4 linked regions of the Saccharomyces cerevisiae S288C genome follow. Changing the gene in region 1 together with any one later gene gives a genetic interaction. Each region holds a gene or a part of one and is shown in the gene's direction. Other genes may lie near its edges.

Region 1 (2,977 bases):
TGCACCTTGCAGCAGCCCACCAAGACCATGCTCATTTGCGCCATCAGTACGATTGTCCATAGCAGCAAGCATACCAGCACCAGACAACATGGCACGGTAACCACCACCAGAACAGGCGACGGCAATCTTAGGCATATTGGAAGAGTTGCTACCAAAAAGAGTGGATAGCAAGGAAGTGTCACTGAAATTCGAAGTGGCCCTATTCAAAAAAGAATGCAAAGCCTCCTTGGTGTATGCATCTCTTTTTTTCAGCCATTCTGTTTCGTTATCTGACAAACCAGATGCTTCTCTGACTAAGTTAATATCATCATCACAGGTTACGTTCGCAGGGACGTAACTGTTATTTGGTGACCAAGCGTTAACGTTCTCTGTTAGAGAAGTCAAAACTGCAGCAGAAACCAACAAACTCTGCAACTTCATGGTTTTGTTTTATTTTCTTTCCCGTTTGCCCTTAGGATGGATAGCTTCGTGTAATTTACGTTATATGAACGAAAAAAGAGAGAAATGTTAAGAAAAGAACGAAGAATTGATTAGTTAGTATAACCTAATAAATGTAGAACCTTACAGCGAAGAGACGTTTCCGTTGGTTAAATGTGGTGGAAGCGTCTTTATATATTAGATGATGTAGTTTACCTAAGCAGTTAGAAGAAAATAAAGTAACCAAGTCATCTTCTAAGCAAAAATAGGAGACGTAAATGAATGTTGCTTAACTGAGAAAAATATGCGGGAATAAGCGGACATGTTACTGTATGAGGTTATTTCCCTTTATAGATAAGGGCGTAAACCGCATATAATGAGGAAAGGCGAAGTTAGAAACGGACTTTTTAGGTCGCTTTGAAGAAGTCCGTGCAGGAAACCCATGCGTCCACTTATTTTAGCACTATGTGGCATGAGAAAGCTTTGGAAGGAATAAACGTTAGGACCCCACTGCGCCGCTTTTACGCAGGGCAATTTCGGGGACAAAGGGGGCTGAAGGAATACAATTCCGATCCAAGGCAACAAGTAGGTCAGAACCCTTTATTAACCTGCGCTTGTTAGTGGCTTCCTTTGTACTCTGTCCGTAATCCAGCATAGCGCTGAATTGCTGAAAGATATGGGTAGCGGTCAGATGAGAAGGGCAATCGTCAGGACTTCTGTTGAAAAGCGGACTAAACATAGGCATTATCATTCTTAGAGTTTTACGAGCAAATAGAATCGAGTGACTTCCGTCGTTGCTAACAGGCGCAGTAATAATAACCGCGGACGAAAGCCACGCAGGCAAAGAATGCTTTCGCTGAAATATCGGAGTCTTGCTATTGTTCAGGGCTTTGCCGGTGCGTAAATAATAGGCTGAAGCGAATTTGATTTCCCGCACAAAAAATTTTTGCTCGAGTAAGTCATACATATATCTTGCATGCGTAAAAAAAATTGCAATTGCTGAAGATTGAACGACCGCCCACCGGTATTTTCATCTCTTCTAGATCAAGACTAACTGCTCGTTCAGTACAAGTATTTTACGATAGTCCATATTACTCTTCAATTAATATTTTTTTTTTATATTCTGGCCCGTTTTTGACACAATTTTTTCCTTCTCTTTTTCTCCCTATAAACTATGCAGAAGTAGCGATAATCACGATCTTGTTAATGATTCACATGTGCGCAAGTCGTATTGTCTGTCTAGATAGTGAGATGCCTTCTAAATAACAGGAGAGAGGCAAGATAGCATAACGGCGCAATGAAGGTAATTTCTGCCAGTTTTCTTTGCATTGACGACTGAAAGGGCCCTTGTAAGAGCCGCTCGACAGGGCGACGCCACAGTAGAGTCGCTAACACCGAAATATGCATATTGAAAAACATCAAAGTATAAAAGAACAAAGAGGGTGGCATCTGCAGATCAAAAAAAACAATAACCACCAAACAAGACACTAAAAAAGGTCGTAAAAAGGTCAAAAGTTAGAATGGTTAAGGTATATATTCATGACAACAAGGTTGACTCCGATTATCGCGCACCCCACAATTCTGGAACAGAACTTTCCCTGGATGAATTAGCCAAGTTAGGAGTGATTTATAAATACTGTGCAAATGAGGAAGAAGTGAATGAAATTGCTAGGCAAAGAGAATATAAAAATAGAGATGTGGTCAACATCTGCGAAGGTTCCTTCAAAAGTGAAGCAGAGTTTAATGAAAAACTAGCAACATTCTACCAAGAGCATTTACATGAAGACGAAGAAATAAGATACTGTCTCGAGGGTGCTGGATACTTTGACGTCAGGGATGCTTCCACACCAGAGAACTGGATTAGGTGTTTGGTAGAGTCAGGTGATTTACTGATTCTTCCACCAGGCATCTATCATCGTTTCACCTTGACAACTAGCAACCACATCAAGGCCTTGAGACTGTTTAAGGACGAGCCCAAATGGCAAGCTATCAACAGGTCAAATCAGGCTGATTCATTGCCTGTACGCAAGGACTACATTGCCCTGATCAATCAGTACTAAATACTGCATCATAATACATTATTCTTAATGTCTTACTTCTTTATATCTTTAAAGTAGCGTAGGGTGACTTCCCCGTCAAGAATGATTTTTAGTCTGTGAAATAGGAAAAGAAAAAAACACCAAAAGTGGAAAAAGAAACACCGGAAGTTTGAACGATTTTCGTATTATTTTTATATTTAGATGTTGGTCAAGTATTCATCTTTTCCTCCATTTATTTGCATACTTCTTCCATGGAGAATAGTGAAAAGTATAGGCCATAGTCGTAATATCAAAAAGCAAAGCCTTATCACTATTTATAAACATCAACAATCCTGAAAGCCAAAAACGATACGACATTTGATATTTTGATTTGGTTTCAGCGCCCTATTTTTTTTATAAAAACTATACGCATACTGTTGCATTCCTTTCTTTATAAAATTCAATAAAAAATTAATACTTTCCACAGATAAAGCTAGAGAATGTCAACAACAGGTCCGTTAGATGCTACTTTAATAAGGGAC
Region 2 (2,572 bases), on another chromosome or scaffold:
AATATAGGTGCTGATTTTATTCCCTACTTGAATGACATCATGGCGTTGTGTGTTGCTGCCCAAAACACGAAGCCGGAAAACGGCACATTAGAAGCCCTTGATTATCAAATAAAAGTACTAGAAGCAGTACTAGATGCTTATGTGGGTATAGTAGCGGGTCTTCATGATAAACCTGAAGCTCTGTTCCCTTATGTTGGTACTATATTCCAGTTCATTGCACAAGTTGCAGAAGATCCTCAGCTGTACAGTGAGGATGCTACCTCAAGAGCAGCAGTCGGATTGATTGGTGATATAGCAGCGATGTTTCCAGACGGCTCAATCAAACAATTTTATGGACAAGACTGGGTTATTGATTACATTAAAAGAACTAGGAGTGGCCAATTGTTCAGTCAAGCCACAAAAGATACAGCAAGATGGGCTAGAGAGCAACAGAAGCGTCAATTATCCTTATAATTACGATAGAACTTACAAGCTGATTTTGGTTCTTTTCCATCTTTGTTTCTTAACATCTGCTGCAGTTACCAACGCATTTACAAACCACGGTTTACAAAGGGCATTTCTCTTTGATCATAATTAATTTGTTATTTTACCTTTATGATTTTGTTACCTTCTCCGTCATAGGAGAGAAAACAAAATACCTGCATTCTTCTAATTCCAGTCGCACTTTTTAGAATTTCCCTCTTTTTATTAAAGTACATCTTAATTTTTTTTTTTCTTTCTTCCTTTTCTACTATCTTCTCTTTTATTATTATATTATATTATCAATAACCCTCATCTCTCTCTCTCTCTCTCTCTCTCTCTCTCTCTCTCTCTCTCTCTCTCTCTCTCTCTCTCTCTCCTTTTTTTCTTCTTTTAGATTTTTTTGCTTTTGTTTAATTTCATTCCAGTTTCCCCCCCCCAATATTAATATTCGTTCCTAGAGCCTATCACACCTAATATTTCCCGTATACATTATAGTAAATACCTCAAGACACTTATGATAGATTTTTTTCCTTAACTCAAACCTAATTAGCTCTATGCATAAAGAAAGTTTTGAATAAGGAAATCCGCATATTCAAATTATCAAACATGCACTTCATCTGCAAAACTTCCAAAAACTTTCTGCTCGTTAATAGTCAATGTATGGTAATGCGAATGAGCAGGTACCCCTTATTATAATGATTAATACTTACATCATAGTTAATAATCTTATCTCAGGGTACCCATAATTTCAACCATCCTTAGCTTCCATTAAAAACACAATGAGTTGCGTTACTAGCGAAGCGGCTTATCTGTTAATTCTTGCTTGCAAACATCTTAGCTGAAAGTGAAAAGGCACAGCCGCACCTGCTGAATGCTCAACGTTTGTAATAATCCGCCTATTTCCGCGGAATCAATAGGGCTCCTAGCAGGCCGCCATCAATTTTCAGCGTGCCGCATTAAAATTATATTACCAAGATTTCCATTTCCGCGGCTGATTCCTATCAATATTAAGTAATCAATCTTTTCCTCGTGATTCTTTGTGATGCTCATTCACAGAGGACTAATTAAGACATGTAGCACAATATATTCATATAAAAGTTGGTGCAGTTAATGATTAATTGCATTGTTTTCCTTGTTTCTTTCTGTTATACCTGTCGAATTAAACATAAAGTGTATATGAATTTTAAGGGGCACAAATAACAAAGGATTATTTATCACCTTTAATAATGCAATCGATCAGTAATTGTCCCATCGGGTTAGTTTCAAAAAACACAATCAATTCAGCTTCCACTATTGCAGAGTGGGTAGCATGTCCATGGAAATATATCAACGTTGTTGGTTCAGGCAGATATGTGAGCAATAAACCTGATAAAATTACCAGATATGATTTACTCAAGGCTGCCCAGGAAGCGGAAATGCAGGAGTTGCTTACAAGAAATGATATGAAAGGTAGACATAAACGTAATAAGAAAAGTAAGATAGCATTGGAGACTATAGCGGAAGAAAACTCTTCAACTGAAAGCCTTTTTTAAAGTTTGTGTCACAATCATGTTAAGCTATCGTCCCCTCATATCATTTTAGCCTCCAGGTAAAACCTAAATATTGTATAAAAGAGAATGGTAGGCGAGCATATTATAGAAAAATATCTCTAAATAATTTACAATTTAATATTCGTTGCTAATGGTAATTTTTTTTCAATTGTTCTTAATCCTTTCTTAAACATAAAAATAACTATTTTGAATATAGATAATACACATCAACGATGCAACTCCAGTATATTAGCTAGTTAAAGGAATGTTCAGTAACTCTACAGTATTACAGAAAGGGCTGAATGAAATTTCAACTAATTTGTCTCTTGTGAAATTTAGATTTGGTAACTCTACGCAGGTGCAAGCCATTAAATAGCCATATAATACTCTTAATGTTGACTCATGTGCAATGATGAGAATGTCCTTGCTCGTATGCTCCATTTCTAATAGTAAAGGTTCCATACGAACGGCTAAGTCATGGTAAGATTCCGCCCTAGGGAATCGAAAATGATATGGGTCTTTTAATGATTCTTTATATTCTGATGGAAATTTGTCCATTATCTGTTGATCAGTAAGATCAG
Region 3 (3,626 bases), on another chromosome or scaffold:
TCTTCTTCGTCGTCATCGTCCTTAGCATCACAACTTTGTTGGGTGGCGATTCCGGTTCCCATAGGAGAACCTGCTCCAGATGTGAAGTAAGCAGAAGCAGCACTTGGCATAGCAGGCAAAGTGTTATTAGCTTCCCAGACACCCTTTTCATAATCAGGACATGTAGAATAGTTGTTGGAAGTACTGTAACCACCATTGCCTTCTGGGTTGGATACTTTGCTGTATTCATTTTTCAAGTTTTCAAAATCTGTCAATTTAGTGACCTTGTCACCATCAATTTGAACGAGCCCGTAATTGTTAGTTTCATTGGAATATTCGTAGACTAGCCCACCGGAGAATACAGAAGACATTTGAGTGGAATAGATAGCTTCAATTTCTGTGAATGGACGAGAGCTCTTGACTTGGTTACAACCAAATTCACTTAAGAAGACAGGAACGGAGTAATCTTGATATAGCTTCATCTTGGTGGAATAACCCGATACCACAAATGAAGATTCACCACACCAAGAATAGTCATTAACACCAAACATGTCGATTCTAGCGTCAGCTTCATCACCACAGTTAAAGTATTCAGCAGCCAATTGTCTGTTAGCGACGATATCAGCAGCCGAGTAACCTACCGGAATTTGTCTGTATTTTCTAGCCTTGATGTATTTCTTCATGTCCCTGACCACTGCCTTGACATAAGTAGCAGTGTTGGTAGTATTAACACTATTGATGACCTCGTTACCAGCGAAAAAACCTAGAACATTGTCGTAATCAGCAAAGGTATCAATGGTGGCAAAGACATTTTGTAAGTAGTCAGCGTTATAGGAGCAGGCTGGATCGTAACGAGAAATAGCACTCGTGGGGGTATTGACATCCAGGATCAAGTATATACCGTTCTCCTGCAATAGTTTCATACAATGGGAATGATCTTGCGAGTTATCCACAGTATAAACTCTGACAGTATTTATCCCTAGATCTTTCAGAACGGGGACGTCTCTGTCACAGACAGATGCGTCTGCTAAGGGATCAGTCAAGTTAGAAGAACCACCAGGCTGGTAATCAACACCACGGATATAAAACCTTTCACCTGATTCCGAATTAAAAAATGCATTGCCTTTAATTTCAATGGATGGTGTGGAACTGTTACTGCTGCTAGCAGCCTGAGCCAAACCAGCACTTAAAACGAAGGCACTTGTAAGAGAACGTAGTAACATAGCTATTTAGAGCTGTGTGTGTAGCGAGTGATATATAATATGTTTGTTACAGCCCACTGTTTACTTTTATATACGAAATGCAACACTGTCAACAAATCAGTTCAGGGACCTTCCTATTTATAGTATAAGCAAAATAAAAGTGAAAAATTTCCTGCGGAGTTTTTTTTCTCGAGAAATTGTGAACAAAAGAAAGCAAAGACACAGAAGATGATAAGAGAGAGAAACAACGAAGAAAGAACAACAATGTTGGGGTTCACCCGAGAGATATTGACATACTGACCTTAGAAAAGGCATTACTGAGGCTACTGACTAAAGCGCGTTACATAAATGCATAGTATATTTCTTGTTGTATACGCAGCGGCCAACTAGTGGCAGCAAGAATGTAATGAACGATTCATCTGCAGGTTTGGAGGCCGCAACTAGATCAAAACGTAAATAGCGGGTGAAGTGTTCTGGACGTTAGAAGTAACGTCCGCAGATCGAAGCTAAACACGAGATTAGATTTCGGGTAACGGAATTGTGATAATTAAGAAAGACCAGACTATGTGAAAAGGCCACGTAAATGATAGAGCACACATTAGCAACTATAATAGACTAGTTTTCGCATCGCTGGAAGTTCTCGATATTGAATATCACTTCCAAGAACGCAAACTTAGAATGGTCCGGATTCTTCCCATAATTTTGAGCGCCCTATCTTCGAAATTAGTGGCGAGTACAATATTGCATTCATCCATACACTCAGTGCCATCTGGAGGCGAAATCATATCTGCAGAAGATCTTAAAGAACTTGAAATTTCAGGGAATTCGATCTGCGTTGATAATCGTTGCTATCCTAAGATATTTGAACCAAGACACGATTGGCAGCCCATACTGCCAGGTCAAGAACTCCCCGGTGGTTTGGACATTAGAATAAACATGGACACAGGTTTAAAAGAGGCAAAACTAAATGATGAGAAGAATGTCGGTGATAATGGTAGCCATGAGTTAATTGTATCTTCAGAAGACATGAAAGCATCGCCTGGTGACTATGAATTTTCCAGTGATTTCAAAGAAATGAGAAACATCATAGATTCTAACCCGACTTTATCTTCACAGGACATTGCCAGATTGGAGGATAGTTTTGATAGAATAATGGAATTTGCGCATGATTACAAGCACGGCTACAAAATTATTACCCATGAATTCGCCCTCTTGGCCAACCTTAGTCTCAATGAAAATTTGCCGTTAACATTGAGAGAGCTCAGTACTAGAGTCATTACCAGCTGCTTGAGAAACAATCCTCCTGTAGTCGAGTTCATTAATGAAAGTTTTCCAAATTTTAAAAGCAAAATCATGGCCGCTCTGTCAAATTTGAATGATTCTAACCACAGATCCTCTAATATCCTAATAAAAAGATACTTGTCCATTTTAAACGAATTACCTGTCACATCCGAAGATCTTCCTATATACTCTACGGTTGTTTTACAAAATGTATATGAAAGAAACAACAAGGACAAACAGTTACAAATAAAAGTCCTGGAGTTGATCAGCAAAATTTTGAAGGCCGACATGTACGAAAATGACGATACAAATCTAATTTTGTTCAAAAGAAATGCTGAGAATTGGTCGTCAAATCTGCAAGAGTGGGCAAACGAGTTCCAAGAGATGGTCCAGAACAAAAGTATAGATGAACTACATACAAGAACGTTTTTTGACACCCTTTACAACTTGAAGAAAATTTTCAAAAGTGACATCACGATCAACAAAGGGTTTTTGAATTGGTTAGCGCAACAATGTAAAGCCAGGCAATCTAACTTGGACAATGGGCTCCAAGAGAGAGATACTGAACAAGACTCATTTGATAAGAAACTTATCGACAGCAGACACTTGATCTTTGGCAACCCCATGGCTCATAGAATAAAAAATTTCAGAGATGAACTCTGATTTCACTGTCATTGCATATATAGTTTAATATTAATAATATTTTTTTCAATTAATATTTCGTGAATCTTATTAGAGATATATTATATATCCGTGTCTAATTTTTAGTTACTTCATCCAAAAACGTCCCGTCGTTGGCCAGTCTATTTCTAAATTTGTCCCACCATGTATCAAACCTCTTGATGGGCACGTTTCCCTGAGCATCTAGGAACCCTGATAAATAGTTATATGCATGCTGAACGATTTTGGCGGCCAATTCTTGTGTCAATGAAGGGTAAACTTGTGCCAACTGCCCTGCCGTGGTAATATTTCGAATTATTCCTAAGTTAGGTCTTGACAAGATCAATGAGTTGTTCTTTTGTGCTTCGGCATTCATGCTGGCCTTCCACTCTTCTAATTTCATCATTCCTTGTTCTCGAGGCTCAATGGAAATACCAATAATCAATTCTGATATGTTATTACTGCTACTTCCATTGGTGTCAGTAAACGGATCAGCGGCCCCCG
Region 4 (3,058 bases), on another chromosome or scaffold:
TTATTATTGTACTAGGGTTAGAAAAGGAATATGAGTTTCTTATTGATATTTTTTTGAGCTTTGAGGTAAAAGGAAGGACATAATCGAAATTGATTGTCGTTAGACTTCAAGTGTTCCTTTTATATCTCGAGGATTCCTACCATTCAAGCTAATAAATTTTTCACCAACCATTCCTTTTTTAGGATCTTTCTTATTTTGACCAAAATCTAAATTTAGCTCAAAATGTGGTGTTCCGCTTGAGAAAACACTCATTTGTACTATTAGTTTTCCTGATCTGGTAAAGAAATGAAAAATTAGGCTGAGTTGGCGACTTATCACTACAGACGGAAAGCCATTAATGAGCTTTTTTGTCTTTAATAATTTCCGAAATAGGAAATAGTAAGATCACTTAATATGAATAACTCCCAAGAATTACCATTTACGGCCCCTTCCAATAGAGGTGGGAAATGTGTATGTGCATTGTGAGGGTCGCCTAATTGGGCAGAAGGGGGGAGAAATGAGCGTGGCAAAGCAGTGAGATTGACTCGTTTTGCGGCCAGCAACGTGTTGGACATGGCGGACCTGCCTGCATTAATTATAGCACAAAGCCTATCATTCATCGCATCCTTGTGCAAGTTCTAAGTTCACCTCCATATGGATTAGCGGCCAGGATAATGGAAAAAATTTACCATACTTTTTTTTGCAGAATAGATCAACAGTTTGGTGCATTTGTTCCTTCTTGTTTTTTTTTTGCTTGTTTTTACAATTTTTACTGTTTTACTATGAACTGATGGCTGGTATAGTGACAGAGTTTCTACTTTTTTGCTACTTAGTAGACTACTATACTAACTAGGACATATGTTGTTCGTAACGGTAAATGCACTTAAAGTATTTTACTGTTTTTAATTGGATTTGCTTGTTGTAGTAATTTTTGGACTGATTTCGGTCAATCGCTATTTTAATTTTTACTGTTCCTTGCATCTTTTACTAATCCGAAATTAGCTCAGCTCAAATTTGTAGTTTACTAAAGTACGCTTTTCCTAAAAGACGAAAACACAAATATAGTGAAGACATTATCCGACTTTTTTGCCAAAAAGGGACAAAGCACGAAATTAAGTAAAACTGTGGTAAAAACTACAGAGGAACGTCGCATTGGCTAGCAAGGATCTATTGTTACTCTATCAAAACCCCTTTGCCAAGCTCACATATCCTATTTGCCGTTCCTGAAGGCATCCAACTAGGCTTGATATCATCTTACTTATATAGTGGGCTTCTGCTCCTTAACCTGATCAATTTCACCTCTAATTTTGTAGGATTCCTGAGAAAATACAGAAATTCTAACGTTCCTCTGATATATTACGAGTGAATCATTGGGTATATATAAGAGAAGTGGAGTAACAAAAGCTGTAGAAAGTAAGTTACACAGAGTCACAAAAGAATATCGACTTTTTGTGCAAGAAAATTCGACTGTTTTGACTCACAAAATTATTCTTTTTGCGAAAGAGTGGGGAAACGAAAACAGTTAAAAGAGTAAAATAACTTGTATACATATACTTATCTTCTTGTTTCGAAATTTCTGTTTAGTCTCGATTTTTTAATTCTATACAACTTACTGAAGAAGTGAACACCGCCCCAATATGCATTACAAGAAAGCATTTCTAGCATCTCTATTAAGTAGTATTGCGCTAACTGCGTACGCTCCACCTGAACCCTGGGCAACTTTAACTCCAAGCTCTAAAATGGATGGTGGCACAACAGAGTACCGGACCTCATTCGGTCTCGCTGTTATACCTTTCACCGTTACTGAAAGTAAGGTCAAAAGAAACGTCATTTCACAAATTAATGACGGTCAAGTGCAAGTAACGACACAAAAATTACCTCATCCAGTTTCGCAAATTGGAGACGGCCAAATACAAGTTACAACGCAGAAGGTGCCTCCAGTAGTGTCACATATTGTGTCACAAATAGGCGATGGTCAATTACAAATAACTACAGCTAAAAATGTTGTCACAAAGTCCACAATTGCTGTTCCAAGTAAAACTGTAACTGCGACAGCAACTTCAACCGCAACTGCTGTTTCTCAGATTCATGATGGTCAAGTGCAAGTTACTATTTCTTCAGCCAGTAGTAGTTCTGTGCTTTCCAAGAGTAAGTTAGAGCCAACAAAGAAACCAAATAATGAAAAAGTGATCAAGGTGCAAGCCTGTAAAAGTTCTGGCACCTTGGCAATAACGTTACAAGGAGGTGTTCTTATTGACTCCAGTGGTAGAATTGGATCGATAGTAGCAAACAGACAGTTCCAATTTGATGGTCCACCTCCACAGGCGGGCGCTATTTACGCTGGCGGCTGGTCGATAACGAAGCATGGCACTTTAGCTATTGGTGATAATGACGTGTTTTACCAATGTCTGTCGGGCACTTTCTATAACCTTTACGATCAGTCTATCGGGGGCCAGTGCAATCCCGTTCATTTACAAACAGTTGGTCTCGTCGATTGTTGAATCACCAACATTATAATCTTGCAGGTCTTGATTGTACTTCAAAAATATAACTAAAATAATAGTATAAAAGTAAGTCTGTCTTACTATGTATGGGGCGCGTTATAATTTTACGTATTCACAAACGAGTTTTCATTTACTTCATCGTTTTTATTTTCGGAGATGTTGCCTTCTGCATTACTCAAAGCGCACTCCAGCTTTTTCCAGCTGTTTCATCCTAAGTTTAAGTGCCATATAAATCAACGGTGGGAACCCTAAAACACTAACGACACTTCCCTTATAAAGAATGGATTTTTTGCCTAAGGTGGAATTGCCTATTAGGCTCGAAAGTTGAATGAGAAACCCCCAAACAATCGAAAATTGAGAGACATCACTGTACGTCAAAGAATGAAGTACTTTATGGAGGTCACTCTTTTGTAAGTCAAGCTCTTTCTCTTGATAGGTATCAAGTGCTGGCTTGAATATTCTATTGGGAGCGTCATGGACTATATTTACAATGTCGTCTTCTGCGATGGCATGGGGATCTTCTTGCTCTTTGGACTTATTCAAGCTATTTGATTCTAGATATAGGCATGCCAGAC

Evidence for each region.
Region 2: mutations in ADI1 (region 1) and CIS1 together harm fitness more than expected from each alone (negative genetic interaction), as found in Saccharomyces cerevisiae (2 studies listed by BioGRID).
Region 3: mutations in ADI1 (region 1) and SIL1 together harm fitness more than expected from each alone (negative genetic interaction), as found in Saccharomyces cerevisiae (2 studies listed by BioGRID).
Region 4: mutations in ADI1 (region 1) and PIR5 together harm fitness more than expected from each alone (negative genetic interaction), as found in Saccharomyces cerevisiae (2 studies listed by BioGRID).

The regions. Positions count from the first base shown.
Region 1 is NC_001145.3:282,165-285,141, forward strand, and holds ADI1 (acireductone dioxygenase (Ni2+-requiring)), read left to right. Parts: upstream 1-1,937; coding exon 1,938-2,477; downstream 2,478-2,977. Other genes in the region: PLB1 (lysophospholipase), read right to left, coding at 1-420; YMR008C-A (uncharacterized protein), read right to left, coding at 917-1,384; ANY1 (Any1p), read left to right, coding at 2,936-2,977. UniProt on the Saccharomyces cerevisiae protein: Catalyzes 2 different reactions between oxygen and the acireductone 1,2-dihydroxy-3-keto-5-methylthiopentene (DHK-MTPene) depending upon the metal bound in the active site.
Region 2 is NC_001144.5:821,709-824,280, reverse strand, and holds CIS1 (Cis1p), read left to right. Parts: upstream 1-1,688; coding exon 1,689-1,994; downstream 1,995-2,572. Other genes in the region: KAP95 (karyopherin beta), read left to right, coding at 1-453; YLR345W (bifunctional fructose-2,6-bisphosphate 2-phosphatase/6-phosphofructo-2-kinase), read right to left, coding at 2,241-2,572. UniProt on the Saccharomyces cerevisiae protein: Mitochondrial protein that is involved in citrinin resistance.
Region 3 is NC_001147.6:265,763-269,388, reverse strand, and holds SIL1 (Sil1p), read left to right. Parts: upstream 1-1,859; coding exon 1,860-3,125; downstream 3,126-3,626. Other genes in the region: GAS5 (1,3-beta-glucanosyltransferase), read right to left, coding at 1-1,202; OPI10 (Opi10p), read right to left, coding at 3,220-3,626. UniProt on the Saccharomyces cerevisiae protein: Required for protein translocation and folding in the endoplasmic reticulum (ER). Functions as a nucleotide exchange factor for the ER lumenal chaperone KAR2.
Region 4 is NC_001142.9:117,384-120,441, reverse strand, and holds PIR5 (beta-1,3-glucan linked protein), read left to right. Parts: upstream 1-1,616; coding exon 1,617-2,480; downstream 2,481-3,058. Other genes in the region: FMP33 (Fmp33p), read right to left, coding at 2,655-3,058.